2 linked regions of the Saccharomyces cerevisiae S288C genome follow. The gene in region 2 interacts genetically with the main gene of each other region. Each region holds a gene or a part of one and is shown on either strand. Other genes may lie near its edges.

Region 1 (4,068 bases), on a different chromosome or scaffold from region 2:
ATTTTGCCATTTTTCGAGGTTGTGCTTCGCCCTATCCCTTGGAAAACATTTCTAATCATCTTAAATTCTGTGATTGAGAACGTTTTAACGTTATCTTAAACGTTTCCATAGAAGAACGAACGTGAAGGTTTGTAGCTCGTTAAAAGGCGATCTTGAATGATGTGAAGAAGTGTAAAAGGCTTAGGAAAGTTGCTTGTTGACCCGGTGTCGTTCAATATACTCCTATTACCCAAATGGCAGTTTCATAGAGTGATATTATTTCGTTGCCTTGTGTAAGTTAGAAGTACTTCTTGTCGATTGTGAATTCGGATAGCCGCTAGAACGCCAATCATTGCGGAGGTTTGCCATCGCATGGATACCATAGCCATCTGCACATTCTAATATAGATTATATTACTTTAGACCATGTCATTTCATAATCGTTGGTTTAAGCGGTGTTGTTTCCACAGTTTGTATGAGAACTTTTGTCCAAAGTAAAGTATCAGTAACGTAATCTGAGCAAACCTACATTAAATCGTAACTCCGCGAGATTCTTTTGTTCAGGTGGATCAGCGGCGTGGTTTACTTCCGATTTGCTCATCGTGCGCATAGCAGCATTTATTCCTCTAATTCGCTCGATAATCAACCTTTCCGCACTACGACGGTGGCAATAGTTGGACCTTAAGATATGCCTATCTGAATACAATTCTTCAACTCACATCAGTGGGACACTAAATAAAGCATATGGTATGAAATACTATGAATTATTGAATTATTGGCAGACACAGCAGCGACAAGTCAGAGTGCTTACAAAAAAAAAAGAGTTGATCCGGCTAAAGAAAGTCTGATTTACGTATTTATCCAGGTTCAAACGGATTGCCAAAAATAGTCGATAACCTCGGAGTAAGCAAAGCAACAATATATTTGTTCTTCGAAAAGGTAAACTTCTTAACTTCTATAGAAGCATTGTACTAGTTCTCTCGAAGAAAAAAACTAAGAAAGCTATAGCTGTATCTTACCAAGCCATGAACTTGAGGAATTGGTAATCCTTATTAGGAAATACGCTAAACTAGGTAATAGCAGATGATTTACTAGCTTACTATCTCACACTAAGTCTGGCAACGCGCTTATTTTTTAATACTTTTATACGAACCAATGAAATTTGATCCTCCCCTTTTTCGTCTAGTTAAATGAAGAGATACAAGTAGGCCTTTCTATTGAGTACTTAGCAAGATATGTATTTCTAAGAAACATCAACAGTTTCAGCCCACAACCGATTCATAAAATGTCTGCCTGGAGGAAAGCTGGTATATCATATGCTGCATATTTGAATGTGGCCGCTCAGGCTATCCGTTCTTCATTGAAAACTGAATTACAAACCGCTAGTGTTCTTAACAGATCGCAAACAGATGCTTTTTATACCCAATATAAAAATGGCACTGCAGCTTCTGAACCCACTCCAATAACAAAATAGTTTAACGCTTCCTGGGAACTGCAGCTCTTTTTTTACTCGCTGATATACATTTTAAATATTCTAGCAACTGTGTATGAAAACTTACGTACTTTTATACGGGAAACTAATAATGACTACAATGATATTGAATACTGGCCGCTTCGAAGAGTGGTATAAAGTTTGTATCATTGCATTAAAAGAAAAAGAAATATATGTCCCATCATCGCCAATCGCAATGTTGAATGGTCGTTTACCACTTTTGCGGCTGGGCATATGCAGAAACATGCTGTCCCGTCCCCGACTGGCTAAACTGCCATCTATAAGGTTTCGGTCTTTGGTCACCCCTTCTTCATCGCAGCTCATTCCTCTCAGTCGGTTGTGTTTAAGGTCACCTGCAGTTGGAAAATCACTAATTTTACAAAGTTTTAGATGTAATTCATCCAAAACAGTTCCAGAAACTTCTCTGCCTTCAGCCTCTCCCATATCTAAAGGATCAGCAAGGTCGGCACATGCAAAGGAGCAATCTAAAACTGATGACTATAAAGATATAATAAGGTTATTTATGTTGGCGAAACGGGATTGGAAACTGCTTCTTACAGCCATACTTCTTTTAACCATATCATGTTCCATAGGCATGTCTATTCCTAAAGTCATAGGTATTGTCCTTGACACACTTAAGACGTCATCTGGATCAGATTTTTTTGATTTGAAGATACCGATTTTTTCTTTGCCTTTATATGAGTTTCTTTCCTTTTTTACTGTTGCTTTACTGATTGGTTGTGCTGCTAATTTTGGTAGATTTATATTATTGAGGATACTAAGTGAGCGTGTTGTTGCACGCCTAAGGGCAAATGTCATTAAAAAAACGCTTCATCAAGACGCAGAATTCTTCGACAACCATAAAGTTGGGGATTTAATTTCTCGTTTAGGATCTGATGCTTATGTTGTTTCAAGATCAATGACCCAGAAGGTCTCGGATGGGGTCAAAGCCCTAATTTGTGGGGTTGTTGGCGTGGGGATGATGTGTTCTTTGTCACCTCAACTATCAATATTGTTACTATTCTTCACTCCACCTGTTCTTTTTAGTGCCTCAGTGTTCGGGAAGCAAATTAGAAACACCTCTAAAGACCTTCAAGAAGCTACTGGTCAATTGACTAGAGTCGCTGAAGAACAACTCTCTGGTATCAAGACGGTTCAGTCGTTTGTTGCTGAAGGTAATGAATTGTCTAGGTATAACGTTGCAATTAGAGATATTTTTCAGGTGGGAAAAACTGCGGCATTTACAAACGCAAAGTTTTTTACTACAACTAGTCTCTTAGGTGACCTAAGTTTTTTAACCGTCCTTGCGTATGGCTCCTATCTTGTTTTACAATCACAGCTCTCCATTGGTGATCTGACTGCATTTATGCTGTACACAGAATATACGGGGAATGCGGTATTCGGCCTTTCTACCTTCTATTCGGAAATTATGCAGGGTGCTGGGGCCGCTTCCAGGTTGTTTGAATTAACAGATAGGAAACCTTCCATTTCACCGACTGTGGGACACAAGTATAAACCAGATCGTGGTGTTATCGAATTTAAAGATGTTTCATTTAGCTACCCTACAAGGCCTTCTGTTCAAATATTCAAGAATTTAAATTTTAAAATTGCGCCAGGATCGAGTGTTTGTATTGTGGGCCCTTCAGGTCGTGGTAAATCTACAATTGCACTCTTACTGCTAAGATATTATAATCCCACTACTGGGACTATTACGATAGATAACCAAGATATCTCTAAATTGAATTGTAAATCCCTAAGAAGGCATATTGGTATCGTTCAGCAAGAGCCGGTACTGATGTCAGGTACTATTAGGGATAATATCACTTATGGGTTGACATATACCCCAACAAAGGAAGAAATCAGGTCAGTAGCAAAGCAGTGCTTTTGCCATAACTTTATCACAAAATTTCCGAACACATACGATACGGTAATTGGTCCTCACGGCACCTTACTAAGTGGAGGACAAAAGCAGCGTATTGCGATTGCAAGGGCTCTAATCAAAAAGCCAACTATTTTGATTCTTGATGAAGCTACATCAGCTTTAGATGTTGAAAGTGAAGGAGCCATTAACTATACGTTTGGTCAACTAATGAAATCAAAATCGATGACTATTGTTAGCATCGCGCACAGGCTAAGTACGATCAGAAGATCAGAGAATGTTATTGTCCTTGGCCATGATGGATCAGTGGTAGAAATGGGCAAATTCAAAGAATTGTATGCGAATCCAACAAGTGCTTTATCGCAATTACTTAATGAGAAAGCGGCTCCTGGGCCATCTGACCAACAACTGCAAATAGAGAAGGTCATCGAAAAGGAAGATTTGAATGAGAGTAAGGAGCATGATGACCAGAAAAAGGACGATAATGACGATAATGATAATAATCATGATAACGACAGCAATAACCAGTCTCCAGAGACGAAAGACAATAATTCAGATGATATTGAAAAATCTGTCGAACATCTCCTGAAAGACGCGGCAAAGGAGGCTAATCCAATTAAGATCACACCACAACCGTGAGTCATCCGCATCGCATATACCCATTCTTATCTCGCACATTTAAATATATACTATATATAATACTGTTAAATGCCAAATAA
Region 2 (4,537 bases):
GAACTTTGCGCGAAGTGGAAATAATGAGTGACATTAGTCAGACAGACAAGAGGAAAATTCAAACCAGAGGAAAACTAGAATGATAGTTATCGAAAATGCAAAAGCTCAGTGTGATGTATTATTATATAGTTTTTCTGCTGTTTGACTATAAAAGAGTAAGAATATTCTAAAAAAAAAAAAAAAAAAGCTTCTGCGGAAACGCATGATTATTTGGTCATCGAGTCAATTTTATTTTCCAAAGAATCAATCTTCTTTCGTTGTTTTTCCAGTTGTTCTTTCAAATGGCGTAGTTGCTCCTTCTCACGCTGCCTAACGAAGAAGTCTTCCGTGGCCCTTTCCCTTTTAACAAACGAATCCTCTGAGCCTGACCCTCTTGGGGTGCCGGTAGAACCTTCAGAGTAGAACCTTGCGGCCACACCGCGCTGTAATTGCAATGAGCGTGCTAATGCTGAACGTGGTAACATATTCTATTGTGGAACTGTATAAAAGTGTGCTGTAGTAATGCGTGTAAAATGCACTCCTTTGGGATAGCAAAAACAAATTCAACCACGAACAAATTCAAAGAAAGTTTTAAACAAGATACAACAAGTCAAGTTATGAACCCCTCCTTCTCTAACGATTGTTAACGCCTTTTCTAGCCCCAAAACCTCGTTGCAGTGGAAAACGATGGGTGTCAGCAACTAGACAGTTGATTGGCATAATTGTGAATATCTGGATATTTGGTACCCGCAGCAGCCTCCCCTTATTCTGCCGCGAATGCGCGCGTCTGATTGGCCCGGCATCACGGGAGAGTAAATCTTCTTCTTTTAATGCGTATCGGACAAAGTAGATGGGAAAAAACATCATTTAGATATGTAGATGTAGATGCTATATATCGTATGTAATAAGTGAAAGAACATAATGTAATGGTTTGGGAACGTTAGGCGGATGGCTTAGTCCGCTTGGCGGCGGGGATGGTGGCCAGTTCCGGTACATCGCTGTCATTCTTCTTGTTCTTTTTTGCAGATAGTACTTGAGGAGTGCTGACCTCTGCGTGGAAGTTCTTGATGATAGAGTCAACATCATCGATATTCAGCGATCTGACATCACCCAGCTTCTTAATCTTAGCAGTAACTTCCTTGATTTGGTCATCCGTCAAGTTCAAGTTCAACTGGTCGACTCTGGCTTTGATGGCGTTCCAGCCAGTTAGTCTGTTGGCGAAGTGGATATACCTCTTCATACCGAAATCGTGAGGGTCCAAGATTTCGTAGGTAGATGGGTTAGCCAAAATGGCCTTGGCATGGATACCTGCTTTATGTGTGAATGCACAGAACCCGGTGATAGGGTTGTTGAATGGAATGTTAACTTCCACAGCATCAGCGACCAGGTTTTCAATGTCTCTGATCTTGTGCAACTTGTATTTGGACTTGACATAGTCTGGTGCGGCAACAATCATTCTTGCCATGAGCCCACCTAGAGGAGTGATACCGTTTCTTTCACCAATACCCAGTACACTGACGTCAATCAATCTGGCACCACCTTCCAAAGCAGTGTAGGCGTTTGCAATGGCACAACCAGTATCGTTGTGGAAATGGCATTCGATGTCACATGAAACAACACTCTTCAAAGTTCTGATCAGTTCATATACTTGTCTTGGGTTGGCACATCCAACTGTGTCGGCAATACCGACTCTATTTACACCGATCTTGTCAACGGTTTTATAAATGTTCAAAAGATCAACGAGATCACTTCTGAAGGAATCTTCAGAGGAAAATCTGATTTCAATACCTTTGGATTTGACAAATTCAATGACTTCAACAGCACTCTTGGCGATGTAGTTCATATCCTTACCGTGGGAATATTGTCTTAAAAATTTGGAGGTGCCGATAACGACATCGACACCGTCGACACCAGTCTCTACGGCGACTTTGGCGTCATCCATATGACAACGAATGTGTGTAAGGATCTTGGCCTTTAAACCTAGTTTACATATAGCTTCACAGTCCTTTCTTGATTGTTCAGATGCTACTGGTGAGGTTAACTCGATGTAGTCCACACCGAAATCGTCCAAGGCTCTAGCAATTTCGATCTTTTTTTCAGTATCGAAGAATGCGTTGGCAAATTGTTCACCTTCTCTCAGCGTCGAATCGATTAACTGGAAATTATTTACATTAGAAAGATAGTCGCCCGGTTTGGCAGCATATGGATTTGGTTTAGCAGCAGTCATCTTTAGGAAAACAATACAGGGTCCTTCCTTTGTTTGTTATGTAGATAAGAAACAAGAATAAACTAAACGGGAACATATCAAATACACTTTATCGATAAGCAGCCAATATCATTTATATATATCATCATCGGGTATTTAAGCAGGTGTAAAAAATGGCCAGCGATGAGGCCCTTAAAACTTGGTAATAATATTACTCACGCATCATCGTCAGCAAGAACCTAAAGCGCAAATTAAATTATTGCCTATTGCTCTAATGTCGTCGTCGTCCACTACCGAAGAGAAAATTCCCCAGCAATTTTGGTCATATTTTTCAACCATGAATAAGGGATAGTGGGACAAGGCCAGGCCATTGTGACATTACTCATTTTTTTGCCACTTGCAACGCTAGTAACGCCGTATCCACAGAGAAACCGGGAGTGGCGCGAAGAGATCTTTTTTTTCTTTTACTACGTGTGATCCTCTAAAGAATTCTTTTTCTCAACCTAGCAAAGTAACCCACGCTTAAACTTCCTTGCAGAGAGTTCCCGTCGGAATTTGTTTTTTTCTTACTAAAACTACGCAATATTCCGGCGGAATTTGACGCAGACGTAACATCAGTCATCAGTTAATTTAGAATAACGATGAGCCAGCTGATCGGGTACTGTGGACGGAGTTTATAAGGAAGAGAAAATGCTGAGTGCATTAGTCATAAGAGAGGAGCGTGATCTGTAATTCCCTCTGCCTGTGCGGATCACTTCCTACAATTTATTTTGTAAAAGAGAGCACGTCTGTAGTTTCAAACAAAATCACCAACTGTGCTTTGTTCGAATACCCAGGGAACTGTTTGTTCGTCGAATCGAGATAATAGCAAACAAGAGTCTCGGTTGAGTAAACGCTCATAGACAAGAAACTAGGAACATGGCTAAAATCTTGCATCGATGTAACATTAATATAAATAGTTTGCAGCAACCGATTTACACAAAAACTGAATCTCAAGCGCACGCAGTATACCAAATTTGGTTCCTAGAGTTTTTTATATGGGCGGCTAACCTTGGAGAGATCAAAAAAGTGTACTTAACTACGAATGACATTTTAGAGGGTTTCAAGCGTATTATAATGAGATAATCTTTCAGCTGGTAGCAATTATGGTCTAATAATTTTTCGTTTATTCGGCCCTCAACCATTTGTTGAGCTTATACCGATTTAGAGCCCATAAAACGTCGTGATAATCCGCAACTTCCACGCTACCACTTTCCACCATCTATCAAAAAAAATAAGAAAATTACCATGTGTAACAGCTCCTTCCATAATTTGAAGCAGGCTGTGTTTATTCAGTTCTTCGTTTGTTTTTCTTACTTCAACGCTCCTTGTTCGATAGCTTTATTTTCTTGTTTTTCCTCCACTTTTGGATGGATGGACTTGACGGCTGTCTCCGCCGGGGAGTAAGCATCGGGCATTGTGCCAAGATAGTATCTAAAGGGTGTGCTATCTGGCACAGTTTCAGTTACTAGTTAGCCATGAAATTTTTCCTTTTCAACGTAGCAGTATCCATATCATTGCTCTTCATCGATAGAATCATTTTATCACAATACCAAAACTTCATCCGGTGTATTTTAGATTAAAGATGATACGTTCAATATTTATACCGCCAACTAGTATAACTGCCACTTCTCGACTGTTCTACGGAATGAGGGCGTATTCAACAAAACTTGAAAAGGCTTCACTCCAAAAATATCTGCATGATCCTGTTAAAGTGACTGTGATACCAATAACGGACAAAGAATCATTCATTTACTATAAGCATACCGATAATCTCTTTAATAGTCAGTCTAGAATATTAAAAGCAGAAAAGTGGATCGTTGAGAAATCAGCAAAGCTTTGGAGAAAACTGAAAAAGTCCCCTAAATCGTATAATAAAAAAATAGTGTCCATGGTGCAGTCTCTGTTAAATAGCACACCCTGGTCAGAAAATAGTCTGTTAACCATACCAAGTGAAAGCTATATATTGAAGAGAATTAAGGGAGAGAAAGATAAGACCCAAGAGATTCGACTCACATTGAAAGATTATACCGTAAAGGCAGAACAGGTCGATACTCAACCCTTACACGTGTATTATCCCCCTGGAATTTCTAGCCCTGATGAGTGCTTGAGACAAATGAAAAAGCTCTACCAAGAAGGCTTAATTTATCACAAAAAATGGACTTTATATTGCCTTTTAGGTCTCCCGCTGACAATTCCTCTAATTTTAATACCGCTTATACCAAATGTTCCAGGGTTCTACCTATCTTATAGAGCTTATGTTAATATCAAAGCTTACCTTGGTGCTAAGCACTTGAAGAGTCTACTGGAAAG

Evidence for each region.
Region 1: mutations in LYS20 (region 2) and MDL2 together harm fitness more than expected from each alone (negative genetic interaction), as found in Saccharomyces cerevisiae (2 studies listed by BioGRID).

The regions. Positions count from the first base shown.
Region 1 is NC_001148.4:28,816-32,883, forward strand, and holds MDL2 (ATP-binding cassette permease MDL2), read left to right. Parts: upstream 1-1,666; coding exon 1,667-3,988; downstream 3,989-4,068. Other genes in the region: ATP15 (F1F0 ATP synthase subunit epsilon), read left to right, coding at 1,264-1,452.
Region 2 is NC_001136.10:131,106-135,642, reverse strand, and holds LYS20 (homocitrate synthase LYS20), read right to left. Parts: upstream 2,207-4,537; coding exon 920-2,206; downstream 1-919. Other genes in the region: INH1 (ATPase inhibitor), read right to left, coding at 207-464; MRX19 (Mrx19p), read left to right, coding at 3,810-4,537. UniProt on the Saccharomyces cerevisiae protein: Catalyzes the aldol-type condensation of 2-oxoglutarate with acetyl-CoA to yield homocitrate. Carries out the first step of the alpha-aminoadipate (AAA) lysine biosynthesis pathway.